4 linked regions of the Rattus norvegicus genome follow. The protein of the gene in region 3 interacts with the protein of the main gene of each other region in a biochemical or structural test. Links are inferred from orthologs where the notes say so. Each region holds a gene or a part of one and is shown on either strand. Other genes may lie near its edges.

The links. The genes of interacting proteins can lie anywhere in the genome.
Region 1: of the proteins of Gsk3b (region 3) and Klf5, one has a biochemical effect on the other in vitro, tested with the Homo sapiens proteins (2 studies listed by BioGRID). The link is inferred for Rattus norvegicus from reciprocal best matches to the Homo sapiens genes GSK3B and KLF5.
Region 2: of the proteins of Gsk3b (region 3) and Rictor, one has a biochemical effect on the other in vitro, tested with the Homo sapiens proteins (2 studies listed by BioGRID). The link is inferred for Rattus norvegicus from reciprocal best matches to the Homo sapiens genes GSK3B and RICTOR.
Region 4: of the proteins of Gsk3b (region 3) and Eif2b5, one has a biochemical effect on the other in vitro, tested with the Homo sapiens proteins (2 studies listed by BioGRID and IntAct). The link is inferred for Rattus norvegicus from reciprocal best matches to the Homo sapiens genes GSK3B and EIF2B5.

The regions. Positions count from the first base shown.
Region 1 is NC_086033.1:82,468,483-82,476,202, reverse strand, and holds the start of Klf5 (Krueppel-like factor 5), read right to left. Parts: upstream 4,123-7,720; 5' UTR 3,817-4,122; coding exon 3,589-3,816; intron 1,497-3,588; coding exon 632-1,496; intron 1-631. UniProt on the Homo sapiens protein: Transcription factor that binds to GC box promoter elements. Activates the transcription of these genes.
Region 2 is NC_086020.1:57,535,887-57,543,400, reverse strand, and holds the start of Rictor (rapamycin-insensitive companion of mTOR), read right to left. Parts: upstream 4,123-7,514; 5' UTR 4,057-4,122; coding exon 4,008-4,056; intron 3,849-4,007; coding exon 3,801-3,848; intron 1-3,800. UniProt on the Homo sapiens protein: Component of the mechanistic target of rapamycin complex 2 (mTORC2), which transduces signals from growth factors to pathways involved in proliferation, cytoskeletal organization, lipogenesis and anabolic output.
Region 3 is NC_086029.1:76,061,363-76,068,400, forward strand, and holds part of Gsk3b (glycogen synthase kinase-3 beta), read right to left. Parts: intron 2,091-7,038; coding exon 1,980-2,090; intron 1-1,979. UniProt on the Homo sapiens protein: Constitutively active protein kinase that acts as a negative regulator in the hormonal control of glucose homeostasis, Wnt signaling and regulation of transcription factors and microtubules, by phosphorylating and inactivating glycogen synthase (GYS1 or GYS2), EIF2B, CTNNB1/beta-catenin, APC, AXIN1, DPYSL2/CRMP2, JUN, NFATC1/NFATC, MAPT/TAU and MACF1.
Region 4 is NC_086029.1:93,904,679-93,912,311, forward strand, and holds the start of Eif2b5 (translation initiation factor eIF2B subunit epsilon), read right to left. Parts: upstream 4,123-7,633; 5' UTR 4,087-4,122; coding exon 3,907-4,086; intron 2,890-3,906; coding exon 2,765-2,889; intron 1,922-2,764; coding exon 1,736-1,921; intron 1,656-1,735; coding exon 1,478-1,655; intron 1,390-1,477; coding exon 1,309-1,389; intron 1,054-1,308; coding exon 976-1,053; intron 739-975; coding exon 426-738; coding exon of another isoform or gene 416-425; intron 1-415. UniProt on the Homo sapiens protein: Acts as a component of the translation initiation factor 2B (eIF2B) complex, which catalyzes the exchange of GDP for GTP on eukaryotic initiation factor 2 (eIF2) gamma subunit.

The DNA.
Region 1 (7,720 bases), on a different chromosome or scaffold from region 3:
CCACATTGTGCAGTCAATAAATTATGCCCCGCATTAACCATAAACTCACTTATGCCTGCAACTTGGAGATGTATTACGTCCAATTATATTTTGGGTCATGTATCTCATTGGGGAACGAGCACACACTAATGGAACCAACCATTCTTAAAATTCATCCTGATGCCTTGTGCCTGCCAAGGGGTCCCTACAACCTGAAGAGAAGTTACCACATGCACTATTGCCTATCAACCTACTTAATCTCCAGAGACTTTAGAATTTGGTGCTACGGTTTTAGACCAAATGAAATCCAATACTACTAAAGAGAAAGAAACCCCATTTAGATTAATGGTCTAGTCATTACATAAACAAATCAAATAAAAAAGGGAATTGTAGGAGTTAATTAAGATCTCACTATGTAGCCCAGGCTAGTTAGAACATCTTCCTATCTCAGCCTCATTTCGGGGATTAAAGGCATGAGCTGTCATGACTGGCTAGCCATTATACACCAGCATAAAACACAAAAATATTAAGAGAAAAAGTACACCCTATATATTTTCATGGCTAAGGTTCAAAAGGGAGCAAACGTGAGACTCCGGGGCACCCCGGAACACGAAAAACACTACGGATGCTCCAGAGCACACAGACCACATACCATCATAATCACAGAAATGGATGCGTCGCTTCTCCAGATCCGGGTTACTCCTTCTGTTGTATCGGACAGGTTGGATATTTGGCGAATTAACTGGCAGAGTGGCAGGTAAATTTGGATTGTGAATTGCCAGTTTCGAAGCAATTGTAGCAGCATAGGACGGAGGTGGGGTCAGATTCTGGAGCATCTCAGCTTGTCTATCAGGACTTCCAGGCTCTGAGCTCGGTGGTGATGGGGGAAAGTAGGTGGCCTGCTGTGGAAGAAACTGACTCGGCATGGTGTACGTGCAAGGAGGCATGCCCTGGAACTGTTTCATGGACGTCTGTGGCACAGCAGAGGGGTGTGAGTTAAGGCCAGCCATAGAGACATTAAGGGTGTCCATGACTGCTGTCTGGTTTGTCGAACTGGGCATGTCTAGATCAGGTGTATTCAACAGCTGGTACAGGTGGCCCTGCTGGGAAGGGACCGAGAGATGAAGATCTGGTATAGGAAGTTCTTGTTTGATGAAGATATTGTTCACCTCTGGCGCTGTGGTCTGGTGGGAGCTGAATATACTGGTGAACTCAGGGAGGGCCTGGGTGGGGGCCGGAGGAGGAGGGGCGGTGGATTCGCTCTGGTGGCTGAAAATGGTAACAGGTTCTGTCTTGATCTGTGTTACGCATGGTCTCTGGGATTTGTAGAGGCCAGTTCTCAGGTGCGTGATGTCAGGGAGGAAGACGTTCATGTTGATGCTGTAAGGTAAGCCTTCAGTGTCAGTGAAGAACTGGTCGACCACTGAGGCACTGTCTCGTCTGTATTTTTTATGCTCTGAAATTATCGGAACTGGAGGAAGCTGAGGTGTCAGATACTTCTCCATTTCACATCTTGTCTAGAAAAGAAAAGATGAAAAACGTAATCTACCCGATTCAGTCAGGAAGGATAAATAAATATGGCCTACTAAACTCCAGGAGTACCGGGGCCAACTCCTAAGTGTTGCTTATAAACACACAAGTTCATTCTGTCAGTTGTGTAATTATTGGTTAACCAAAAGTCTCTGTGACATGTCCTTAGTAAAATCACTCCCCCAAATCATCCCCAGACAAAAAGTGAAAGAGGTGGGGGAGGAGGTCAAAACATATTCTTTTCTGATGCATTCAAGTCTCACCCCGGTCGGAGAACGGCAAGTCTTCAGTTTAAAGCACGGTATCACACTTTTGCCAAACTGTCTCAAATCTGTCCGCATCCATTACACTTAAACATGCTTCACTTGAAAACTAAGACCTTTTGCAACTCTTCGAAATAATTATTTCGAAGGGCTCTTCCGTGGGCATAGTTAGGTTTTCTTTGGATACTAATATAAAAATGTGCTTTGCCCATTTCGGAACTTTCTGAATAAAAACGAACATTTGGAGCAGGAGCCTGCATCCACTCGTACAAAACAAGTGCGCCCTCAACGTTTGATCTAAATGTTCATTTTACCCGGCCGATTCGGTAACTGGTTACATTAATAATGAAACGGACCTGTTCATGTCCCTATCTAAAACAGATCTTTTAATTATCAAGGAGAAAATCACTCCCTTGGTAGACGGGTGCTAAGACTCCCGTGGGTGGGGAGAGGCTGCTGCACTCACACAGTCATCAGCAAAACATTTATCATGTCCTCTCCGTGGGCCAATGCTACATTCCCCCTTCCTCTGTAAAAAGAGCAGTCATCTTGCTATCTCCTGAAAGAACCAAACTGAAATAACCGAATATCTTCCAGGCCCTGATTGTTTAAGATCAGACATAATCCAGCTACGGATCAGACGCGCTCTTCTAATACAATGAAAACTTTAATTTTTCTCATCTTTTTTGACATTGAAGTTAGAAAAAAGATCAAACCCCAACTACGTGAAATGGTTCATAAAAACCCCTGCACCTTAATCGATGAATAGGAGTCTTATTTTTGCTTTTAATTTTCAAAAGAATGTCACCTCGGACCTCAGATCATCAAGATCTGGATGTGGATGAGGACGGACGGGATTTCCCGGATATGCAGGACTTAAAAATAAAGATTCATGCTGTGACCATGTGAGTCACATCTGACAAAATGCCACTGTCCTCTCAAAGCACACTGGCAGACCAAGAATTAGGCGCTGAGTGCAAATACACAATACAGCAAGAGGCTATTAAACTAAGTGTCTTGAAATAAACCGAACTAAACCCTTTCGTGCACTGCGCTCCCGTGGCGGTTAGTGGTTTCTGATTTTAGCTCTTCCAGCTGTTTGCATGTGGGTCTGTTTCCAATTTTTTTTTTCCTTGGGACCAGCTAAAAGTCCCGGGAAGTTTTTTCTAGGCTATATGACTCCCGTGCGTGGGCGAAAGAAACAGGCGCTTGCTCTAATTCGGCTGCTGGGCAAGTGTAAAAGCCAACTGCCAGCTTTCAACGCGACTCCGGGAGGAAATTTACGCGCACAAGAAAAACAACACCCCTGGCCTTTTTTTTGTCCGTGTTCTTTTTAAGGAAAAAGAAGCGGTGTTCCAATACAACCTTAAAATTCTAGTTTCCTAAACGGGGCCCTACAATCCATTCTAGGGTGAGCCACGGAGGCATATGAAACCCCAGTAGTCCAATCTGCATTTTTATTTCACCCCAGAGGACGCAGGCAGGTGGACTTCCAAGGCCAGGGCCATCGGGAAAGAGTGGTCAAGAAGCATTTTAAGCCAAGTTGAGCGTGGGTAGAAGCCTTCATCCGCACGCAAGAAAAGACAAGGTGCACGTGAGCGCGCGGCTCTTTAGCCTTCTCTGGACAGATCGGGGTGGGCCCCCGCCCTGCTCCCCCATCCACTCCGCGGCGCCCCGTCTGGCAGCGCAGGGCGGGGTTGCCCACTCGGGCGCCCGTTCCCGCGCGTCCCAGCCTGGAGCGGCCCCTGTCGCCCGCGCCTCGCAGCGGCGGGACACGCCCGAGCTGGGGAAGGGAGGCCGGCCACTCTCGGCTTACCTGGACCAGCTCCTCGGAAGGCAGTCGCGGGCCGGCGGCTGGCGGCGGCGCAGGCGGGTGGTGGTGCGCGTGTTTCAGATCGTCTCCGGGGAAGAGCGCCGCGTCGCGGACCGGGTTCGCAGCGCCCAGCACCGGCTTGAGCTGCGCGAACACTGGCTCGTCCTGCGCGGCCGGCGGCTGGGGCACTGGTCCCAGGCGGGCGCTCATGGTCAGCACCCGCGTGGGCATGGACGGTCTGGAGACTACGGGAGCGGGGCACGGGGCGATCGCGATTCCCACCTCGCCCGGGCTGGCACAGGACGGAGGACTCGGCGCGGGGCCGCAGCGGGAGACCCCTGGGCCGGCAGCCAGACGCTCAAGAAGGCGGGCACGAAGATCGGGGCTCCTGGGCTCGGCCACGCGTCACCGCCGATGTACTCCGACCGCCACTTTCTCCCGCCCCGCCCCAGCGCTCGCTCGCTCCCTCGCTCGCTCCCTCGCCGGAACCGCTCCCGCCACCTCCAAGCTCCACCAGCAAGCTAAGAGGGCGCGTACCTGCCCCGCAACTACTGACACTTGACGCCCGCCTCTATTTCACCCAACTCCAGGGAGGCAGGGCCAGCTCATGCGACTGGCAGCGTTGTGGCCAATGGCAATGCCCCAAGGCCAGCGGCTAGCCAATAGAAAAGAAGCCCCACGAGGTCCCGCCTCCGACGGGCCGACCGCACCCCTCGCGGGCCAGGAGCTTCGCGCGCAGGGCTGCGGCGCAGTTTGTACACAACTTCTCTGACAGATTGGGCCGGCGGAGCACGGGGCGGAGGGAAGGAGAGGAGCGGGTGGAATCTAGGAAGAGGGGGGAATCAGGGTGGAGACGCGAAGGGAGATCTCTCCGAACTGTTCTCTGCCAGGATTAGGGCGAAAAAAAGTATTGCACGTCTTAGGTGTTGTGCAAGGACCTGAAACTCGAAAGCTGAAGGCAGAAGGCAGCTAGGTGGGGGAGCTGAGGTTTCCAGTCTTATCCAATGAGTGTATTTTTTTAAGTATACAAAATGTACTTTAGAGGAAAACAATGGGCGGTGCGGTAACAAATGTAAAACAGCTCTCATTTCTGTGTTTTCAACCGTAGATCTATCTATATACTTTAGCAGATCGCTTATGGCCTGAATAAAATCTGTAATGTCAAGCATTTTTTCAAGTCCTTGCATACCAACCTGGGCACATTTCCCCCTACAGCATTTAAGGAGCTAGAAGTTTTCACAGACATTTCTACTTTCCTTCGCCTGCCGTATGTGGGGGAAAGGTGGGGTAGGCCATATGAATTATGAAGTTTTTAATATTTAAACCATGTTGATTCTAGTCGGAGCATGGAATCTAATTTGAGAACTAACAGCCAGCTCAACTGGGTATTTAAATAGACATTACATCTTTGGCTTATTTTTGCTAGCACTGTAGTCTCTGGAGGGGGGGAGACGGAGTTTTAATATTTTCAGAAGAGAAGTATGGCCCATCTACCTAATACAGTGGCACCTTTTCCTACGAAACGGGAACCAAAGAAGCCACAAACATACACAGACACTCAACGACCCTGAAAACTGGGAATCCAAATTTGTAGGAAAGCAACGGCCAACTAAATGACCACCTTTTTACTGCGTTATTTTAATGGAGGGTGAGTGAGTGGTTTTGTTTGGTTTGGTTCTTAATTTTTGCCAGTAATCGCTAAAGGAAACTACTCTCCTTAATCCTTAATGTTCTTGTACATGATTTTATCTGGCTTATTGAGAAGCTGAGACAATAAACTGCGACTTTAAAAAATGCCTGTCGTATTGCTATCAACGTACGTCTTTTGACAGCACATTATAGCAGAGTACCTACAGAGAGCACACTGCCCCTTTACAGTGAAGCATCTTTTAAAAAGTTCTTAGGAGAAAAAGTGTACCTCACAGGTATGAGTCTCCTTAAATGAATGTTTGAAGAAAGTCTCACGTGCTGTTTGTTTGTTTGTTTGTTTGTTTGTTTAGCAAAGATAGAATCATATTGTGAACTCAATTTCTCTTCTCCCTTTTCCTTCCTGTTGCAATGATCCATTTTTACAGTTGTCATTGCTGCTTTCAGAGAACGGGCAATGACGCCTTTCAGGATACCAGGGTGTTATTTAATAAGTGTGTGTTTTAAGTGAACAATTTCATGTTGCCAACCTTCATCTTTAAAAACCTGGCCTCATTTTCTCTGTGATTAAACCCGATCATGAGCTCAAATCACTCGGAAACAGGTCATAGAATTGTTGTTGGATTTTAACTTTTTAAAAAGAGGTGATTTTTTTTTTTTACAAGACCTTTGGATGCTTAATGCTGATAATATAACCAAACTAAGGCGTGGGGTATTAATAACTCTTAATACAATATTTCTTTTCTTTAACTCTTAACTCTCAATACAATTTAAAGGTCTTGGACTTTAGCTTTATTTTGATTGACTTTTAAGCCTATCCAGACCAGAGCATCAGTGGGGCGTGATACTTCACTGCAATAAGACCCTTTTACTTTAATGGGAATCTTTCTAAATTTCACAATAGCTTTTTGACATGCTGCCCCTTACAAAGATTTCAATTGCAGCAAATCAAGACCCTCCCAAACCATGTGACAAGCACTGAAGAACATATTTTTATGGCCTTGTCACTCTTTACTTTCCTATTTTTTAAAGGATGTATATATGAGCCTACCTTGGTCTGGTTCATATAGCTGATCCATTTACAGTTTTAAAAATACTCGAATATCTACTTTTTTTTGCTTGAAATGGTGGCATTTATTTAAATGTAATTTCTGGCATAAAGATCGGGGAGTAGGGCCACCGCTTTTAAATAAGTAATCGTTTCTCTCAAATCCTTAGCTCTTCAACCCCACAGAAAATATCCAGCTCAGCTGTGTAGGATCCTACGGAAGTTGGAAGGCAATCCTTTTCTGAGATGTGTACCATGCTGTTCTAAGCACACAGAGACCATGTTTAACCAAGACAAACAGCGCTGTTGACAAACTTGTCCACTCGGCTTCCAAAAAGGGGTTAAAAGTCGATAAATATTTTTCAGATTTTTCCAGGTTCTACACTGGCGTGCCGCCAGCCAGTGTGAATGGACAGATCCTCAATTACTTTGAACTTTCTAGTTCTTTGCATTCCTCCCTGCTGAGTAGTCCTGCACCATTAGGGAAGATGGGAGAACACCAAAAAAGACAAATGTCAGGTTTCAGAAATCAATTAGTGGCCTGGCAGTCGTGTGTGAACTGAAGTGTGCCAAAACAGGGGATTGATTCTGAGGGAAAGAAAGAAAATTGTTGAGTAGTCAGGCTGGCTGGGAGAGTGAGCACAGAGGCAGTGTGCATACTTAGGTCCTTAGTCACTGGGCAGCGAGGATTTAGTCTTAGAATAAACCCCAAGTGTCACTATCTTTACGGGAATAAATACGCCTGAATGTGTGGGGGCTGAGCCGGCATCCAGCTACGGGGGCGGGGGCTTGCAAAAGACAGTGGAAAAAAAAAATAGATAAATAGCTTCTCCACGAGCGGAGGAGAGCAAGGAGCACTCTGCAGGGCAGTGCTTAAAGAACACACGGCAGCAGAGACATCTCGGGTCAGTTGAGCATAGAAAGTCCTCCCAAGCTCACTCAATGTGGGAGATTATATCCACGGGATATGGGATATTTCATCTCTGTTCTCCAAACTATCAGATGATACTGGCCCGTTGAGAAGACACCAGAAAGAGCAACAGTAGCTTGTGGCAATTGAGCACCCAGTGCCGAGGGTAAGATTATTTAATTAAAAGTGACTTTTATATTCACTGTGTGTCCCTGTTAGAATCTGGACCAATGGAAACACAGAAGAGATTTTGTCCCAGAAGAACGCTTCACATCTTTAATCTTTCTAGTTTTTTCATTCCTACCTGAAGCCATACGTTTTTAAAAGTTACTGAGGCAACAACACAGTAAATAAGTTCTCCAGGAGACTAGAGGACGTGCCGATCACTTCGATTCAAGAACTTTAGAGACACAACAGATGTCTCTTCATTTCTTTTTTGTGCTGACAGATAGGTCAGTTCAATATTTTAATGATTTCATTTCTTTTATAATTTCAGATGACGTGTTCCTAAGGAAACAATTTAATATCCT
Region 2 (7,514 bases), on a different chromosome or scaffold from region 3:
TTTCTGGGAAGACACTTAGAAAACTATACTAACGGGGGCTTACTGAGAGATTATTGTGTCTTTCAAACCTGAGTCAACAGAACCAGAAAGGGATACACTATCTAAAAAAAAAAAAGAAAAGAAAAAAAGAAAGAAAGGAAAAGGTGCATGCTTGCTATGGAAGTAGCTAAAGGAAGCATTAGGTGTTTGTACTTTTTTAAAAAGCACATCTTGGTGTGAAATATAGAGAGTATTTAATGGTGTCAGAAGCAAACTAGGACCTTCGCAAATTAAGTAGAGTAGGCTTCTGAACAAAACTGAAAGCGAGAATTACTAATAAATTAACTCTAAGATTTACTAATTGGGCTCCTAGGTCAAAATTAATCTGTCAATAAACATTCTATATGAGCCACAGTAATAACACCAGTACTAAAATCAAAGGCCCCAAACCCTTCTGGGCCCCAGGAGAACCAGAATACAAGTAAATCAACATAACTAAAAACTTTCTGGTGCTAGGACAAACAATTCTAAGGCTCACAAAATGTAGTATCACATCTTACCCTAAGTACATACAACAAACTCTACTTTCCGCTTTCAGTTAATCTTAATTGGTAATTTTTTTTTTTTTTTTTTTTTTTTTTTTTTGGAGACAGGTCTCAGGGAGCCCAGGCTGGCCTCCAACTCCCAGTCCTGTCTCACCTCCTAAGTGCTGGTACTAGCAAAAACATGTTACCACTAAGTACTCCATTTCAGCCCGAGTCCTTGAATACGTGTGTAACAGTCAAAACAATAATTTGGGGCTTGGGGAATAGCTCAGTCAGAGAAATGCTCTGCCAGAGCTTGCCAAAAGTGTAAGGCCCTGAGTTCAAAACCCAGAGCCATGGGAAAAAGCTAGGTGTGGTGGCACACATTTTGATCACAACCTTGAGGAGCCAAGGACAAGCAGATCCCTCAGTTTACTGGACAGCTGGTTCAACCTAACTGATAAGGTCCGGGCCACTGAGTGGTATTGGCCAATAGGGTACTGCTCCTGCCATCCTAGGTTATCCTCTGGCTTCCATACATACATGTACACATGTGGACGTGCACATGTACATGCACCCACAATCACCTGACATACTTCTTAAAATACAAAGAATCCCAACCTCCCAATGTAGGAGCAGCTAACACCAAATATTGCTTATAAATGATAAAACATAATTTATACTGAGTAATTAAGAACTACCTTCCTTTACCTTTCAGTCTTACTAACATTTTAAAATTAGTTTTTTTCAGTGGAGAAACAGGAGGTAGGCAAGGTCAAATAACTTGTCCCAAATCCCCCAGCTACTATTGTCCCTGAGCTTACAATGCAGAACTATCTGACTTCGCAGTCAGTGTCTGATATGCCTGGATGTCTCTTTCACAGATCACTATGACCACGGTTGTCCACCTACACAGTAGACGTCACAAAACAATCTGCATGACAGCAAACCTTGCCTTAGCATAAAGCAAAACAAAACTTTAGCTGCTCAAACTTTTATCTGTTTCCGTATTGTAATCTAATCTACAAGCAGCTGCAACCCAGATGCCTCATGGGTCTGAAATCATTACTAAAGTTCAATTCCTCATGAACTTTCCTCATGTGTGATCCACAAGCTTTTAAACAATGAAGTGTCTGTTAAACAAACACTTTCTCTAATCAGCTGTCTCACTATATACGAGTCTAACTCGTAACTTTTTTCTGCTAAACTTCCTTATGGTTGAGGCCTACAGTTCTCAAATAACTTCTCGTTGTTGTGCATTGCTTTTGCAATCAGGTCAACTGGCTATGAATACGTATTTGGAACGCTAGTACATTTTATCAGGGCAAATGAAAACATTTTCTAAGCATTTTCTATAACCCTAGGAACAGCTATCTATATTATATTTATTACATAGATGTTTAAGTAAACAGTCTCAGAGAACTGATTCTTTTCAATCATACCCATAGATTTGTCTGAGTTAATATTTAAGCAAAGCAAGTTTCAAATAAGCTTTTCTACAATCCCAAATTCTGACACCACCACAGAAATGTATAAAGATTAACAAAATCACACACTACACAGTTTATCTCCAACCCCATATCTGAACAGGCTTTTACTGTACGCCAGGCTCAGGTTTACCTTGCAGTCTCTTCTCACAATTTCTTGAAATCACTGACCAACTACATGGTTAGAAAAGCACAATTCTGGGGCTGGAGAGATGGCTCAGTAGTTAAGAGCACTGTCTGCTCTTCCAGAGGACCTGAGTTCAATTCCCAGCAACCACATGGTGGCTCACAACCATCTGTAATGAGATCTGATGCCCTCTTCTGATGTGCCTGAAGATAGCAACACTGTACTCACATACATAAAATAAATAAAAATCTTTAAAAAGAGAGAGAGAAGCACAATGCTAAGTCTCAGATCTGTATTAGGATACTCAGAATGCTTGCTGGAAATTTTTCATATATATATATATTAAATTTACAAATTAAAAAAAGTCAAAAGCTTGACCTTTTTCTATACTGTTTCTCAAACCTAGCTAATAAAAAAAAGTTCCAAATCACCGATTTAACTAATTGCCATTTCTAGAACTTACACACCACTGTACTGTATCTTAAAAAAGTTTCTCACTTTGAAAGGACTAGTTTACTCAAAACTTCCTGAACTATCAGAAACAAATAACAAACATGTACTCATCTAACTAAATCAAAACTATAGTCTTTCAATCTACACCGGGCTCTTACAAAAACGGAAACAGAACTGAGAATGAATTATGCTGTCAATACAGAGATGGGTCTCCCAAAACCGACATCCACCATCCTTATACTTTATACGATGGTCACTACATACAAGGTGGGGGGGGAACAAATTTATGCCATGTGGAATGTTTACGAGTGTCTTTTCTTTTCACATCCTAAGGTGTTTTACGGAACTCGAAAAGTGATTCCGCACAGCAGAACTAGTTAGTTACACTCAACTACAACGCTGTGGGAAGTGACTGTCGAAATCTGTAGTCCAACTCCTGTTTATGGAAGAAGAGAAAAAAGAACTCCTTGCACAGAACTACTAATGCTTTGGCGAGATACTGTGGAATAAACACCAGTCTGGTGGCCGGTGACCCAAGCAAGAAACACCGATCACTCGGCGGAGACGGTTCTTAAAAATGCACGCCGGGCTTGCCCTGCAGAGAAGGTGTAAACAAACGCATCTCCACTGCAGACAGAAGGTACACAATGAACCTGCGGCAGTGAGGGGGCGGTCTCTAGCCAACTACAGCCCCAGCGGGCCCGGGAACGGGAAGCAGCAGGGAGACGCGGCATAAAGCAGACACTTAGCAGTAATCACCGGCTCTCGATTTCACCGCCGAGTTCGCAAAGCTGCGGGGCCCCCAGAGGACCGCGCGGGCAGAGAAGAGCAGTCACGCAGTCAGCAAGAAGCCGGCAGATCCAGCATCTGCTCCGGGGGACGGGGAGGGCAGGATGTGGTCGCTCTTCCCACAAACATCCTCCAGTAACCTAAATAACAACCTCTACCTCCCCTCGTCCGAGGCCGCCTCCGGGATTCGGGGGCCCGGGAGCGGACGGGGGGTGCAAACACGCTCCCGCGGGCGTACGCGCAGCCCCGGTCCTTGGGTGCACCTAGGTCCGCCCCGCGCTCCCGCGCTCCGGCAGCCGCCCCAGGCCCGGAGGGGCTCACCCGGGGGGAAACCGGCGCGGGGCAGGGGGATGGGCGCGGGCTCGGCCCCTCGCTGCCCCGCGGGTCGCGTGCCTGCCCGCCCCAGCCCCGGTGCACAGCGGCCCCGGTGCCCCGCGTTACCTCGGGTCAGATCCAGCGGGACGTTCTCCTCGCCGCTGTCATTCCGCCCTGTGCGAAACAGACACACAGCCCCAGTTAGGAACCATCGCAGGCCAGCGGCGCCCGACGCCCAGTTTGCTTCCCCCACCCCAGACCCCGGGCAAAGCCGAGCGCCGCGGCGGACAGCGAACACCGGGTGCGGAGAGCGAGGGCGGCAAGCGGGTTTACCTCGTATTCGGAGGTTCTTCAGAGAGCGGCCGCGGCCGATCGCCGCCATATTGACGGGTTTCAGTCACAACACCGGAAACCTCGCCCGATCGCGCGAGAACCCCTTCCCCTCCCCGCGCGCGGTTCCCGCCCCCCCCCACCTCCGCCCCCCGCGACAGCGCCCCCGCCCCTCGGCACGGAGGCTCGCCCGCGGGCGCGGAGCAACCAGGCGCCGACCCGGGGTGGGCTGCGACCCCGGCGCGCTGAGACCGGCAGGGTGTCGGAGCGCAGGCGTGGTGGGAGGCGCAGTTCCCACGGGGGATTCCCATTGATGTGGCTCGGGCCTCGGCGCGCGCGGCGGAGGCCGGGATGCGGGCGGGCCACCTGCTGGACCGCCCCGCTGCACTCCCCGCGTGGCTTTAAAGCCCGCTTCGTTACTCATCGGCTAAAATTATCATTATTTTTTATTATTATTAAAAGAGAGGGTGGGGTGGGGAGTGAGGCGCGCGGTGCACAGTTAGGAATGTGGCTTTGATCCTTTCCCAGAACCGCGGTGCTCCGAGTGAACACGTAACAAAGTTTGTTTTCCACCCACGCTCTGACCATTGAGCTAAGCGGCTTCGCGCTTGATCTTAGGCAAAGCTGCTCGCCGCCGGAGCGGGCGGCTGGGCGGAGGTTTGCTTTCGGGCTGCCTGGCATCGGACGTGCAAGGAGTGCAGAAGCGGGCGTGCAGGGCACTCGCCCGCGCGGGACTCTTCCCCAGCGCGCGCCAGCGCCCGGAGGCCCCAGACAGGGTTTCTTCTCCACCCGGAGCCTAGGGAGGAGGCTGAGCGCCTGGTCCTGGCTTTCTGTTACTCCTACATCACTGACTAATGCGGATGCGTTGGATAGATGTTTTTAATGCATACAAGTAAAAGTGATTAGCTTACGAGTTTCTAGAAGCGGTTTATTACGTACTCATTTGGCCCTTCTCTCTTAAACTAGATTACTTTAGTGAGAGGGTATTTTGTCTCCTCCAATTCCTCACCTCTCTATTCCAGACTTCAAAGTAAGTGGAAAGTGGAGATCTTGCCTTAACCACTTCGTTTTTTCAGTACAGACGTCAAAAACAAAGATCTATTGGCGTAAACCTTCTGCTCCTTCTGCCCTAATAGTGTTGTAAACAATAGTAATGTTCTCAATAGAAACAAGCAGACCAAACCCCCTCTAAAACCACAAAGAGAAACAAATATTGGAAAGGCTCCCCTTGTTAATAATAGTGAACAATTGTAAACTTAAAAGTCCAAAGGTAGAAATTATGCAAATGTAGTAGTCATTTAAAATGACTACGCTGATCCATTTCATTAACAATATGATATTAAGTTAAGTAAGCAATTACAGATTTCCTGTATTCATAAATGCTTGAAGTACGTATAAAATTCAAAGGGTCCATTATAAAATAATTTTTACAAGCATGTATGTAGGAAAAAAATACAAGATGTATATCTGAATGTAAACTACTATTCCCCTTTCAATTGTTGGTCTCACCTGCATTTTTTTTGTTCTTGTTGGGTCACCTGCATCTTTTAACTAATAGTTGGTCTATGACAGTTATAGAAGCAGCAAAAGTTTTTTAAAGAAAACTAAAAGAACACCAAGAAAATAAACTTGGGTTGCTGCTCTCTTGAGATAGGACCCCACATCTACACATTCCGTGTCCCTCAGGACGAGGTCTGCGTCCTGGCATCTGCTGCTCTGTTGCACTTAGATTGAAGGATCTAACACAATTACAGTGCTTTAAAGAGATATTTCCTGACACTATCAGTACAAGCCTTGATAAATGACATACTTGCTTCCTTTTTTACAGCTTTCAAGTCATTTACTCTATTTCCTGTCTCAGATGAAGACCACAAAGTTTGAGGTCTGGCCAGGATACTAAAAAGTTTTATCTTTCATCCCTCCACACATCACCATCACTAAAAAACAAAATAAAATGGTAGAAATCTGTCAGTGAAAATGCTAGCGGATTTTCAAATGATCCCTCTAGTGCTAACGTTTATTCTCGCCTGTTTTAAATTGTTTCCTCACCTGTTGTAAGTTCCTTAAGTTCCAGTCTTTCTCGAAAGTGAGCACAATTGGTTGGCTTTAAGCTAATCGAGGGACTTCTGAGCCTTTTAGCTTCATAACTGTGTGTCCTTATTTGAAGACCACTATTTACTTATTCCGTCTCTGACACACACACACACACACACACACACACACACACACACACACACCCCTCATTTTCAACCTACCAATCATATCATTTGTTTCCTACGGCTCCTATTTTAGTGAGTTGGGTTCTCCACATTTGCTCTTAAAGTGGGAGGCTTTCTGATCAAAAGAACAAATCACACTCATCTAGGAATGAGGGCTTTAGGCGGGTTATAATAAAGAATACAGTATACAATGTTATGTTTGAGTTTTAAATGCTATCGATCACAATTGGCCCCAGAACATAAGCTACTTATTAAGAAAAAAAGAAAGAAAGAAAGCCCGGTTATTTTCTGTGATGCTTGTTAAAAATGTCCCTTGAGCCTGGTTTTCCCCTGGTTTGTTTTAACCCTCCTCAAAGCCTTGCTCGCTTTGTTTACTACTTCTGTAATTTTATTTTGGCTCTAATCTACCCACTGTGAATATGACTTCCTCTTCTTAGTTCTCATTTCCCAGTTAGGTTTCATTTACTGTGTCAATGAATGCTTTTTTTTTCTAGTATTAGTCATTGATAAAAAATGTTATAGAAGATGGAGTCCAAGACCACACCTCTGACTGACAGCTCACTTGGTTTTGAAGATGCCATGACTTCACTGCTGGCCACAGGCTGCTTCAATCCCCTATCCTGTTGCACACAGTTTATGATCCTAAAACTGTATTCTATCAGTTCAAGGCACAGTTGTAATGCTGAACAGAAACAAAAGACTCCTTGCCAAAGCCTTGGTTCCCTTTAGCCTATCTGCTTTGCTACAGAGGCCACATGGAGATTAAAAAAAAAAAAAAAAAAAAAAAAAGACTGAAAACCACAAAGTTTGGTGAGGCCGTCTCTTGGTAACTTGTCTTTATTGTCAAGCCACACATTTACTATCTAGATAAAAGCCATCAGTGGGACCAATGCTACCACCCTTCTCCGGGTGGATTGTGAAGTCCCATCTTTGATCACATTAAAACAAAGTTAGATTTAAGGAGGATTTAAGCACTCTAAGGATTTCTTTACAGTTTATTCTGTCCAAAGATAATTATTTAAGATTTCTTTTAAATAACTCTGTAAAGTAGAAAGGCCCCTACGTAAGCGGTTTTAAATGAAGAATAAACTCAATGAAAGAGAAACACCTGTACATTCATGACACCATCTAGACGCGTGTGCACCATGATTTCAATTGTGGTTTAGGACTGCTAGAAATCTGAGTGTTTTTCTCACTTTATTTTAAAAACAATTTTTACTTGGACAATCTTTTATAAGGAAAACTAGAGAAAGTTTCTTGGCTATTTTAAAGTCAAATCACAAATACTTGT
Region 3 (7,038 bases):
TTCCTTCCTTCTTCCTTCATTTTTCCTCTCTCCTAAGACAGACTCCCATGGAATACAGTCTGGCCCTGGTCCTGTCATCCTCTAGTCTATAAAGTGCTGAGATTATAGACATGTGCTGCCTTCTCCAGCATCATCACCTCCAATCTGTTGCACACGCTCACTCTCTGAGCTCTACTCCCTACTTAATACCATGGAAATCAAAACTACTACTGTCTGATTAAAAAAACAGGAGAAGTACTGATAAAGACACCATCTTTTCCGACTGTACTGCTAGGGACTGGCATTACTAATGTTAACAGGAAATACTTCCTTCAGAGGTATGAGAAAACTGCTAAGGCTAGACAGGTTCAATTTTGATTTAAATCTCACTACCCAAGTTAAAGCCTTCTTCAAAATGAACCATGACAAAAATGTAGGCATAACATCTTTAATGTCAGCATTTTGGAATTAAATTAAATCCAACTCCCTATGCACTTATACATTGTCCTTTAACTAATTTTTTTCAATTAAAAAAAGAATGGCATCTCTATATTGTTGCCTGCTCCACAACCTGATGCTAGAACCTGCTAGAAAACCCGTGAAGGACAAAAAGAGGGACTAAATCCTGTGCTGGGAAAAATCTGGACCCATTCAGGAAGTACACCCCACACAGTTTTACACATGAGTAATCTTCCTCTCCATTAGAGTTTGGCCATACGATGATTTACTCGGGATCCCGGGGAGAGTTCAGCTATGCTCCCTCCTAACCCCTGCTTTAAATGACTTTCAGTGGAAAGTGGCAGCATTATGACAGTCACCACATCAGCTCTATGTCAGGGGTGGGGTAAAGTAGGTAATTATATTGCTGTCACTGAGAAATAGAAAAAAAAAATCAGCACCTAGTTGACAGCACACATATTAAAAATGTGTTCCTAACTAGATTTGGTAACTCACACTTATAATCTCAGCACTCAGGAAGCTGAAGCAGGAGGATTGCTACAAGTATCAAAAGTTTCAGGGTGGTCTGAACTACAGGGCAATACACTATCCACCCCTTCCCTATCTCTCACCTAAAAAGAAAAAAAAAGTTTCCCATCATCTACCACAACTGCAATTAGAAAAATACTAGATAAATTCCTAACTACAGTTACATGAAAAAAAAAAGGGGGGGGAGGGATTAATATGAGATTCCAACACCTAAATAATATAATCTGTTTGCTTAAAACGGGCAGTTTAAATGTCTATGAGGAATGCAATAAACAGTAATAGAATGCTACACGGGAACTGTGGAGACTGAGTTTACTTACGTATTTGTGGTGTGTGGCACACGAAAACACTGAGAGCGAAAGTGATGCTATGGCTGGGAGCCGCCTCGCTGTAAAAGAGTTTGCTGTACAAACACGGAAACCTCACCCTGACTCCCCAGCACCATGCATGAAGTTGGGACGAGGCGCACTTGGCTGCCATCCCACCACTGGTGGGAAGAGAGACCAAGACAAAACCCAACTAAAAGCTTATACAGGGCCCAAGAAGAGGTCAGCCCAAGGTAAAGGTGAAAGCAGGAGTCTGACTCTGGCTTGAATTCACCTGTGCTCCCCTCCCCACACCACACCAAAGGTGTATGGCTATCACAGTTAAAATCCTTAACTTTGAAAGCTTTACCATATTTTATCAGAATATTTATTCAATTCCTTTATCTCATGGGCATGTGTGTGCACACACATGGGATATGCACGTGGAGGATTAGAGGACAACTTCATGAGGCTGGTTCTCTTCGACCTCACGTAGGTCCAGGAATAAAACTCCAGTTATCAGTCTCCCACAGCAAGCACCTTTACCCACTGCTGAGTAATGAAAGCTTTAAAACAACTCCATGCTTTAAAACTGTAACAATTTAGCACCATCCAGAGCTTGCTGTTTTAACAAGGAGTGACCAGTGTCAGTGGGGTTGACACATCCCAACCCTTCTGTGAACTGGAGGGGGTCCCATTGTCACATACCTTGACATAGATCACAGGGAGTGTCTGCTTGGCTCGACTATAGTGTCTGGCGACTCTGTACACTGTTTCCGGAACATAGTCCAGCACCAGGTTAAGGTAGACCTCATCTTTCTGTACGGTTTTAAAAGAAGAAAAGGACAAAACCAGATTAGAGGCTCATCTTAAGTATTCAAGTTAGAGTAAATCTCTATATACCTCTTATTCAGATGTTTAAAGAAAAGCTTCATATGGTCAATTTTAATTACACAAACTTACTTCTGGGCATGAGCAGAACTGTACAAATGCATCTAGCAGACTTTATAATCCGGGTATAGTTATAATCCATCACATTGCTTACACATGTGTTATGATAGCTTTTCGTTTATCATAATGTTTATTATTTTCTAGGCTGAAAAAATCAATATCTTTCCTCCTCTGTGGAAAGATTGCTTGAAGACAGCACTGAGTCAAAAGCCAAGAAAGCAGGCTGCTCGCCCTGGCTCTGCTGTCAACTGATGTGTATGTCTGACTGATATATATGTCTTGGCTTCAGTTTCTTCAGCTCCTGAGGAAGAATGAACTAAGTATTCTTGGAAACACTGTAGCCTCCACACAAATGCTTTGTTTGTCTGACGGTCTAGATCACTAATACATACATACATACATACATACATACATACATACATACACACACACACACACACACACACACACACACACACACACACATATATATATATATATATATATCTCAAACATATGGATGAGATCATGCCCACAAGCTTGTCCACTGGTCTCCGGTGTAGCAGCATAAAGGCAAGAGTTCAATGTCAGTCAAGAGAAAGAAGGGAGCTAGAGCCAAACAGGAAAGAGGAGAAAGCACTAGTGACACCCTGTTCTCTGAACAGCACCAGTTGGGTAAACTGAGGACGAAAAGTGAACTTAAGGATTACGCTTGGTTACTGAGTAGTGAAACTGCAGGTGACTGTTCATAATTCCACCTATCAAACTCAAGTCTGAGGCAGTGTTTTGGGCGCATCTACAGGTCAGAGCTGCTACAGGAGGGAAGGGTGGGTGCAGGTGTCAAGTTACCCACGTGTAACTCTGCTCTCCCACTCTGTGACTAGGAACAAGTATAGCTTCTTATCTTTCAAATGAAGACTGAAACAACAGAGAGAAAACTTTATTCAAGATATGAATATATCTTTTTTGATGGTCTTCCTTCTTCCATAGCTAACTGGTCTATCACTCTCATCAGCACAGAGGCAAGCAAATGATGACAACAGCCTGCGATTATCTTTATAAACAAAGTCTAACTGCAGCTCAGCGACACCCACCAATTAAACACTGCCTGTTGCTGTTTGGGGCTAAAATGACAAGAATCAAGTACTTGTGGCAGTGACTGGGTAGGTTGCAAAACTCAAAGTATCAAAGAAAAAATGGGTGTTTTTCATAACCCTGGTGATATTTAGTTTTCTGCACAGCCTGAGCTCAAAAGCAGCATGGCTACAAGGAAACCTCCATTGTGTTGACTGCTCTCATATTTAAATCATCATCGATAAATTAAGTTGGAGAGATAGATTCTATCTTGGTTTAGCTATCTAAAGTCCCTGTAAGAATTTTGGGTTGGAGCAGTGATGGTTCATGCCTTTAATCCCGGTGTGCAGGCCATAACTGTCTGGAACTCTAGTTCCAGAGGGATCTTGACACCCTCACATAGGCATGTAGGCAAAACACCAAGGCACACTGAATGAATGAATGAATGAATGTGAAATTTGGGTTCAGGCTGTGGGTGGTGGTACATGCCTTTAATTTCAGCACAGGGATCTCTGTGAGGCAAAGCCAGTCAGAAATAAACAGTGAACCTCTGCCTTGGAAGAAGAAAAGGAGATAAAAAGAGAAAGGGTGGATGGGGGATGGGGGTTTCTAGGTTCACAAGTGAGTAAACAGCAAGAAAGAAATAAAAACCAGTTGATTAATTTCAACCAGATAGCCCCCAAGTTTGTTCTTACATAACTTGTGTTGGTAGAAGAGGAGAGTTGGCAGGCAGTGATCAAAGCAAGGCATAGCCAATACAAAACTACTGTGCTCCTTGTTCTGGATTTTTACTGGCAAATGCATATGTATGTTAAGAAGCTAGGACAAAAGTCTAAGGAAAGACTGGTGAAACACGACTCTAGAGCAGTAGCTCTCAGTCTGGGGGGTGTGATCTCTTCGGGTCAACATAACAATGAAAATGCGCCCTAAATCATAATGCTTACATTACGGCTTATGAAGTGGCAACAACAATATTTTTATGGTTGGGGTCACTACAACATGAGGAACTGTGTTAAAGAGGTGTAGCACTAGGAAGTTTGAGAACCACTGCTTTACAATACTGTGAAACAAAAACAAGAACACAGAGAGGTGAACAATACAGTAAAACTTCAAAATGCTCTGAGGTCTGAAACATTCTGGGAATGAACACGGCATCACAAATGGGTAAGTTCTCCATCATACCATAGGAAAGGCTGGTCACAGTCCAAACAGGCAGTAGATAAGTGGGATGCATGGTATGTGTTCTCCAGCTGCTTAGGAGGGTGAAACAGAAAGACTATTCGAATCCAGGACTGGTAAGGGGAACACAAAGGGGAGAGAGGACGGGCAGGGGCGCTTGGTGGTTAAGGTCACTTACTCCAGTTCCCACATGGAGGCTCACAGGTGCCCTCCTGTGAGCTCACTGCCCTCCTCTGGCCTTCACCACCATCAGGCATACATGTAGGAAAACACCCAAATACCAAAATAAAATTTAAATTAAAAAGTACAGAAAACTAAGCTAAAAATAAACAACATCAGCAAAAAAGAGCACAGGAGACATAGGTGTGCTGAAATTTTGTGTCAACTTAATATTGTCAGGCTACATTTTTCAGGTATACGTGAAACACAAATGCATTTCCTGTTGAGATTCAGAGGCCGTTCTCAAAACATCTCACTAAGTAACATTCTACAGTCTTTCCAAAAAACCACTCCTGGGTTCACAAGCTCAAATAAGAGAAATTCAACTTGTGTTATAGGATCCAAGTATGGTGAACCTCAGGAGTTAGAAGGCTTTTATTTAAAAGATTGCTAGACTCAAGGGCTCCTGATTCTAAAACGTATTTGACAGAGTTTATCATGATTGACACACTAATGAGAAACCCAGAAGTGTGGGCAATGCTAGATTACGGTTTCAGCATTTGCTAACGGAGCACACCGAGAAGGACCGATGCAACAATTAAGGATGACTGTTGCATGTTCAGGAGCTTCCGGCCCTAAGGCTCCGGGTCTGTCTGTCAGTAAGTGTTAGCATTTGGTCTGGGGCTTTGACCGCTTACTTTATATTACACTCTTGAAATCGCAAATGTCCCCTACTGACTCATACACTGAATGGTACTGGGAGGTGGTGGACGCTTTAAGAAGTAGACCATGATGGAGGACACAGGTCACTGGGCATGCCTTGAAGGACAGAACCTTGTCCCTGCTCTAGACGCCAGTGCACACACCACAGTGCACTCCATCCAACAGTCTCCACTACAGCAGCACTTGTAGCACTGCTCAGCAGCCCGAAACCAGTCTCCTGAGCCTCAGACCTGACCGTGAGCTCTGAGCCTGTGACAGTAAGTCACATGCTCTAACACACAACAGTGGACAGGCAAGTTAGCATGATGCAAAAGGGAAGCAGAGTAGAAAACCAAAACCAAACAAGGATGGGATTAAATCCTAGCCCTCGGATGTCCATTTGCACTCCTCCCACCGTATGTCTGCATGATGGTATTTTCAGGTTACTAAAGGTCTCACTCATCACAACTGACAACCTGAAAACAGAAGTTGACGTCTTAAATTGTGAGTTGAAATAATTTAAATGTTTTCCATGTATATTTTTGTCACGCCAGTGTTTCGGGAGGTGGCTGACACTCTATAAGCTTATAGATTAAAGGTTTGAAGAAACAAGTGACTTTAACAGTTAAGTAACAAATGTAAAGTATACAAACAGGGACAGCGGGTGGTACATCAGTACACGATTTAACTAGACACATCCATAAACAATTCACAGAGCGTACCAACCAAGTAAAAGCACCAGGAGACAAGTCTGACAGTCAGACTGCAATCTCCCGTTTTAACCAGCCATCTAAAGCTGACACCACTAACAATGGCTTAAATGGAAGAGCAAATACGGACTGTCAAGCCTAATAGGCCAGACTGAGCGAAGCCTTAATGTGATATCTAACAAAGCAGAAAGCCTTATAATGAAAATTCAGAACATCAATATACAAAGATCAACCAGACAAAATCAAGAGCAAATGCAACAGTCATCTGGAAAGTATGCACCAGGTGTAACTACGCAGAACTCAAGAAGGATGGGTCACTGAGGCACTCCTAAGGGGACACGTGAGACGTAGCATACGTGCTGTGTTCGGACCATCACGGCCAACTCTGCTCTGCACAGTTCAGGCCTCGTTACTGACAAAAGTCCAGTAGGCAGCAGTTTTAACAGCGCAGAATGCACCAGAGAGGTGATAAAATCATGTCTGCTACAAGGCCAGTAGTCCAACTTATTACAGTATGAGAATAAAGGAAGATTAAGTAAGGGCTTTTGTAAGTTTAAATGTTGTAATGTAAATAACCATGATATTAATTCCTGAACTCCTGAGAACATTCAACTACAGAAAACATGTAGAAAAAAGTGCTATTTCATGTTCTCACAGTAGTTTTTAATTTTCTTATTTGGAGGTTCCTATAAAGATTATTCAGGGGACTCATATTTATGACAGTATTTTAAAAAGAAAGAAGACCCAGGATGCTCCACTTCTGGCATTTCTAATTTTCTAAAACTCTGGTTTGCTGTAATCTCAAAACAATTTCCTGTGAGTTGCCAGAAAATTCAGCAATTCAGCAACTGGATGTAAATTAAAGTGACTGACAGAAATACACAAGAAAGAACACGGCCTTAAAGGAAGTTCGCCAGCATCTCAGAGCCACTGCTGAGCCCCCAGATCTGTCTTAGGTTTGCTCCTACAGCGTCTGTGAGAGCCTCCTCTCTCAGACAGAGTGGACCTTACTG
Region 4 (7,633 bases), about 18 Mb from region 3:
GCAACACTGGGTGTGGTGGCTCATGCCTTTAATCTCAGCACTTGGATCTCTCTGGGCTCAAGGCCAGCTGATCAAAACCAAATGGAAATGTGTCCACCAGCAAGCACAGGACTCTTGTCAATTTAACTCTATGTGTGTGAGTGCTTGTGTGCACACATGGACGCGCCAGTGCCCAAGGTCAGAAGAGGTCACTGGATCCTCCTGTACTTGAGTTGCAAGCTACCTGATGAATACTGGGAACAGAGACTGAGTCCCCCGCAAGAGCAACACACGTGGACCACCTCCCTGTCTCTCTGCTCCTTCCTTACGATAGCCACTCAGCTTCCTAATCATAAGGACTATCCCTCGGCCTCCTCCCTAGCTTCTGGAGACACACTGCAGCCCCCACACTTTAGGGCCACTGCTGGGTCCCCACCTGTGCTCACCAATGTGGCAGTTAGGGCCAATGACACTGTTGGTGATGGAGCAGTTGCTGCCAACGACAGTGCCAGCTCCCAGAAGCACGTTTTCCTCCAGGACGCTGCCGTGGCCCAGGCTGACTTCAGGCCCTCGGTAGATGTTGTGTCGGGAATGAGTGTAGCTTTGTGTACTGCTGTCAGTGAAGTTGACTTCTGGAGTAAGAGGGTAGACCCATCGGCGGATGACGTCAGCACAGACAGCTGAGTACATGTGTAGGTTGGAGACCCGGGCACCATATTCCCTACTTGTCACATGCAAGTGAATCTGATTTCCTAGGATCTGAATGAGAAGGGACGATTACCCAATCAAGCAAGGCAGGAAGACACTCCCCAAGTATACACCCTTCTAAGCCTCTCAGTGCCTCTCTGCCGCTCGATGACACCATCAAATGGCCTGAGCTTTCTTTATGGATCGTTGCTCCCAGCTGTCTCAGGCTTAATGAAACGCAAAAGGGAACCCAAGGTTACCAGAGCAAGACAAACCCTCTCCTCTAGACGTTTTGGGAGCTTTCCTCACCTCCTCATTCACTAGCAGGCCTCGCACAAAATCATCTCGAGTTTGGTAGTCAAAGTTGTCTGTGAAGAGCTGAGCTACCTGTGGAGAAAACACACTATGCTAAGGGTAGGTGCTTTACAGTAACAACGTCCAGAGAGCTATCAAAGCCATAGTAACTGGCTGTAGGACAAACCCTAGATTTGGTTCCCAATATACTGGGAATGAAGTAATTGTGCTTCTCTACTGTACAACAAACCAGAAAAAGAGGGGAAAGATGCATCCCCTGGACTTGAAAGGGAACAGACCCCTAGAGTTTTGCTCTTTGGCTATGCAGCTCTGTTCTGAAGAGTTCACCTGAGGAGAGCAGATGCTGATGTGACAATCCAACAAGTCATATCGAATCTCCACTCCGTCTAGACTGCCCTGGAATAGGCCCTGAGGGGAGAAGTTACAAAGGCTTTAGCTCATCTCTCCTCTCGAAGCTCCTCCCTCTTCTACCTGAGTTCCCCAGACACCCAGTTACCAAAGGAAAGGAGAAATGGCGGAGGCCTTGGGTCTTCTGGAAGTGAAGAATCCTGTTTGTGGTGCTATCCACAGCTAGCACCACATTGTCCTCATGGCAGCGTGTAGGGTGACTGGGTGAGGACTCTTTGAACACCATTGTCATGACAGACACATTTTTTTCTAGCTTCCTTCTTAACCTATAAAGAAGGAGGGGCAGAGTTAGTCTTAGGACTCAACTGGTCCCTAAGTCTTGTCCCTGCCGTCTTCCCCACCTGACCTGTGTTCCTCCAGGGCTTTGGAAATATTGATATTTGAGACGACATCTCCATATATCAGGAGGAAATCAGAGCGCACCAAGGCCTTGGCATCGACATCACGGAGGACATCTCCTAGTGATCGGTACAGGTCTGATGTGATTATTCGAACAACATTGAGGGACGTAGGATGGCACCATTTGGATTTCCTGTGGGAAAGTGATGAGGAACTATAAAGTAAACAGACTATCACAGACCTGACCTCTAACCTCCATTCAGCATTTATACTCCTCTGTGGCTTCTCTGGCTTCCTGCCAGCGTCTCTGGCTTCAAAGAGACGCGTGAACCATAATAAATGGTTTCGGCTTCCAGTGTCATTAGTTTTATGTGTTTGAGAAGTATGACCATTTCCTTTCTATACCTTGACTCCCGTCTTGAAATGTGAGTTTGAATTTAAAATCCTATGAAATCTAGGCTATGAAAGTATTCTGGGAACACATTTTTTTTTTCAAGTCATCTTTCTTGTTCTGAGTCTGTATCAACTTTAAGCACGGTAACATGGAAAACATGTTCAGTATACTAGTCTTTACTTCCAAAACTCATAAATTCCCAGACTAGCTCTTCCAAATTTTAACAAGCATCTCTTAAGAACTTACAGTGGGCTTGAAACTAAGGAGGGCAGTGGGGGAGACAAGGGGAAAGAACTTGTTCCTGTCACTGGGGGGTCAGAACAGACAGTGTTTAGAAATTCAGTGGGAAAATAAAGATGCTCTTCCAATAACATACCCACTGGAACATAAAAAGCAAAACTCACTGGAACGAACTTTGAAAGACTCAGAAAATCATAGCCAAGCCTTTCGATTTCCATCACTGAAACCTCAAGGCAAAGAAAGCTCCAGCAGCTTCTCTCAGGACACGTGAAGAAAACACTAAATCATACACGAGCTCAGAACAGATGCAGTTTTCCTCATGTCTCTACCTCGTCAAACCCATGCTGGAAGGACTGGAAAAAAGACGGTGAAGCATGGAAAGGAAAAATTCCCGAGCCTTACTGTAAGTGTTCTTTGATCTGAGCAGCCTTCCAGCAGCAAAAGACAAATGTTTCCTGTACACCCGTGGCAGTCAAGAATTCCAGAGTATAGTCGATCAGCGCGACATTGGCCAGGGGCAATAGGACCTATAGGGCAGGATATGAAAAAGTCTGAGGTCTTCAAGCCATTATTATACTTCAGGTACCCCACTGCAACAATGTGCCTTTCATCGGGGCTTGCAGACACTACAGTTTGCTTTACCCTTTTATTCTAAAGCAAATAGGCCCAAAGGTTCAGTCTAAGATTTGGGCCTAGTAGACATGGTATCAGACACAGAATATGTTATAGGAAACCAGGGCTGACATTAAGGACAAATGTTGGCCCTAAATCATAGCTCTATAACTCTAAGCACTAAGACCTTCTTCTCATAGAATTTCCTCCTATTGACACTGAGTCACAGAAATCATTCAAACACTTGTCAAAAGTGAACAGTCGTTAGCCTTAGGAATTCTTAAGTAAAAGGCAAATCCCTGTTTGCTGAGGGACCGAGCAGTCTGCAAGCCCAATACCAATGTCCTATGTCTAGGTAGTTCCAAGGCTGAGGGGAACCCACTCGGTTCCCCTTGCAGCAGATGGGAGGAAAAGAGCCCGTACCAGGCCGAGATCTAGCCTTTTTCCCTTTAGGTATATATTACCATCGCTTTTTGAAGCATTTTTTAAATTGCCCATGTCCTGCAAGGTTAGAGGCAATGGAGGCCCCCTTGCGCTACTAAATCCCCCTGGGAAGGCTTCTTTCAAACACTGATTTTTTTTTTTCCTTTTCTTTTTTTCGGAGCTGGGGACCGAACCCAGGGCCTTGCGCTTGCTAGGCAAGCGCTCTACCACTGAGTTAAATCCCCAACCCCCTCAAACACTGATTCTATACACAGCCCTCTCAATCCTTCTCAAGGCTGGGCAGACAGCCCTGCGAGAATCCATATTTGCTAGCTACTCATCTGGACGGACAGCCACCGGGGTTTCAGTCAGTCCCTCCACTTTCTCTCAACCAGAAAAACTCAACTTTATGGTAACTTTCAGAACACGCTTCACTAGCAAGCTGCAGTGGCAACTTGTAGCCCTGCTACCCTCCAGGCCCGCAGGTTGCTCGCGTGCCGGGTCCTCACCCGAGGCTGGTCCTTGGAGATGGGGAAGAAGCGGCGGTCGAAGCTATCGGCCACTAAAACTGCCTGGAGGGGCGGCGGCGGCTCCTCCTCCGCACCTTGGGTTCCACCGCCGCCGGAGCCGCCGCCGCGTTTGTTCGCTCGGCCGCCTACAGCGCTGGGAACCGCCGCAGTGGCTGCCATTTTGCTTCGCAGTCAGCACGTCCGCCGGGAAGCCACACCGCACGCAGTAGGGGACAAAAAGGACTCGCAGTCAAAACGCGAAGGTGTGATTGCAAGGAGAGAAAGAGGAAGGAGTGCGCATGTGTATACTAGCAGGCCCCACCCACCCCCGTGCAAGGCCAGAGCCGGGGCGTGGCAGACCGTGCTAGTTTTGTAGGAGTTGGCGGTACTGGGTGGTGCACTTACCACGGAGGGGTGAGATCCCACCGTTGTCAAACTCGGTCAGCGAGTGCTGCTGAGTTAGGCAAGCTAAGATGGCAGCGAGCTGAGTAGGCTTGTGATCGCCCGGCAGGAGTCTGCAGCTTCCCTGCCCAGAGCTGGAGAAATCGCTCATCGGTTAAGGGCACTTACTGCTCTTGCAGAGAATCCAACTTCGGCGCCCAGCGCTCACGTGGTGGCAAGCAACTATGCACAATTGCAATTCTGTGGTGTCCAACTCACTTTCAACTGGACACATGCCTGTGGAATACATACAAGCTGGCAAAACACTCTTCCACATAAATCTAAAAATTAAATGTAGCTCTCCACTTGCAATTCTAGTCATCTAAGGGGATCTGTCGTCTTTGGGAGGGAACCCACGATCTGCCCAAATACTGAACGTGGAGGCAAGCGGTTAATTTTTTTTTTTTTTTTCGGAGCTGAGGACCGAACCCAGGGCCTTGTGATTGCTAGGCAAGCGCTCTACCACTGAGCTAAATCCCCAACCCCAAGCGGTTAATTTTACGGAGCACCCGCGGATTATGGGCTAGGTCGTGTCCCTTCCCTCCTCCGTGTCCCCTCCCTCCTCCCGTTCTGGAAATACGACCTAAAGCACGGGCATTTCTTAAACATTTAAATCAGACCAAGGAAGCACGCCCAACTAGTGAGTGGAAAGACTGGTGCTGGGGCTCATCTGACTCCCTAGTTCCACAAGCGTTATCACAGAAGAGGCTGGATCTAAGAGCAGCAGTAAACTGTAGGATTGGGGCGTAGTAAGCAAGCTTTTCAGGCTGGACGCTGAAGCAGAGCAACAGGTTTCGGGAAAAGAAGCTGTGGCCGCAGTTTATAAATCAAGCTTAAGGCTGAGGAAGCAATGGCACACAGCCTGGGCGTAATTCTGTCAAGCCAAAAAATTCCTGTAAGCAATCTGTGCCCATTCAGCACCAGAACCTCTGCTAATCCCACAGCCTGCAGGTTTCAGCAACTCCCTCTGTTGCTTCCACCCACCTCCCCCAGATGCCCTCTCTCCCCACAGAGAGTGGTTAGTTTGTGTTTCTACAGTTTAGATTCCTCATGGAACTCAGAAACCTGTTATTTCTTTCTTCGCTCAGTTAAGGAGGGTGCTGTGAGAACAACATTTGCTTTTGAAAACGTCGGTACAAAGAGGGAAAAGGTTAGTAAAAAAATTTCAATTAAATCAATGTAGTACAGGTCACCCAAGGGTGTATATTTCCACCACCGACTGAGACAGGAGGAAGTGAGATCTGCAGTGAGGCCTCGCGACAACTGATCAAACGGGTAGGCAAACACGACCAAAATAAAAGAATGTATACATGTACGTTCTGCGTGATTGATTGGTTGCGCTACAGATCTTCATGAAAAAGAAAAATGTGCACTTGTGGGAATTCTTACACGGGCACACACAGGGCTCCCAGAAATGCTGGATGTGGAGTTCAGGGGCTTGTGAAATTAGGTAACACTGCCCCCTAGAGATCAGTGTGATGCAATGTGCCTGCACCAATTCCCAGAGTCTATGTCATAGACTTTATGACAGAGGTTGTTTGTTTGGTTTTTTTTTTTCTTTTTTGTTTTTTGTTTTTTGTTTTTTTTTGCGATAAGGTCTCACTCTATATCCCTTCCTGCTGTGGTATTAGTCACTGACTATACCAGGCTAGCCTCCAACCCATGGAGACCCACCAGACTCTGCCTCTCAACTGGTGGGACTAAAGATGTGGGCCACCATGCCCAGCCTATGAAGTCATTTTTAATGTGGAGGTTTTCTGTACTGTGGAGTAGGAACCAGACGTATCTATGGTGTATATGGAGGCCAGAGGGTCTGTGGTAAGGGATTTTCTTTCCTATTCTGAGAAAGCACTGCCCAGAGAGTGTCTCCAGTCTACAGGGGTCAGTAGTTACAGGTATAGTGTGAAGTTGTGCCTGGCTTGCTAGTTATTCAACTCCCCCCAAGGAATGTGCACCCTGCAGGAGGGCAGAAAGGGATGTAGACCGTCTTGCTCACTCAGTTCTGTCCCAGTTTTATCTTTGAACATCCTGAGTCCTGGACTGAGGAAATCCTGAGTCCCTGGTACACTGAAGTGTTTTGACCGCCATATAGATGGCAACTAGACATCAGTAATTTGGTGTGGGAACTCCCTCCAACACACATAATTAGTAGACATGGCCAGCCCTTCCAAACCTCTTAGAATATGCGAGTCATAGGAAAGCAACACAATGTTGCTTATTGGGAGATGTTAGTGACAGAAAAAAAAAAAGCTTAATTAGCCGGAGAGAAAGTATGTTACCTAAAGGGAACAAAGCTTATATTGTCCTCAGGAAAGCTGAGATGGAAGCCAGCAGGTTAAGGATACACTGGCTACAGGTCTAAGAAGTAAAAGCTCCTTTAGGTCAAGAGGACAGAATCTCTATCCTGGGTGGAGACCAAACATTCCAGTTCAATAACCTGGCCAAGGAACCACCCCTAGGAAATTTAGGCTCTCCTTAAGCCACACTAAAAAGACGGGTCACATGATTTCCCCTTGATGAGAGACGCTGTGTTTTTTCTCCCACTCCCACGATTCTTAGCCCCTGCTCAGTCTTTACAAGTCAATCAGCCATGAAGTTCTTTGGGTCTGAGTTAGGACTCATAAAGGTCCTTTTTATTTTTCTGTCTTTTTCAGATACTGGCTAAAAATTAAGGATACTTTCTCCCTCACACCCAGTTGGCTGCCTGTTCACTTTGGATCTGACCTTCATACAGGCTCAAATGGCTTTTCTCCTCACCCCACCTTCCTCCAGCAGGCAGTTAATGGGGTTTGCAGCTTGCCTACCTTGGGTTTTTTTTCTTTTAAATTATAATTAAATTGTCCTTGAGCTTCAGTTTGAGTTCCTTTTTGTTGGCTAAGTGCTTTATACCAAGCCTAATGACCTGAGATTAACCCCTGGACTGACTCCTACAAGATGTCCTCTGATCTTCAGTAGTGCACACACACACACACACACACACACACACACACGCACGCACACACACACACACTCAATAGACTGATAAATGAATGAGTTGTTGAGATTTGGTCTGTTGCTATGTATTATAATGCTAAATATTGGTCCCCAAGGTCTGGTTGCCCCCAGGGATGAGGAAATCCTCATGCACACCAAGGGATGCTATATGACCTTGCTCCTCAATTTAAAACTATTGGTTGAATAAAGATGCCAACAGCCTATAGCTGGGCAGAAGAAAGGTAGGTGGGGTTTTGGTCCAGGGCTTAGGGTCTAAGGCAAGACCACGAGGGGGAAGTGAGAGAAGGTGGAG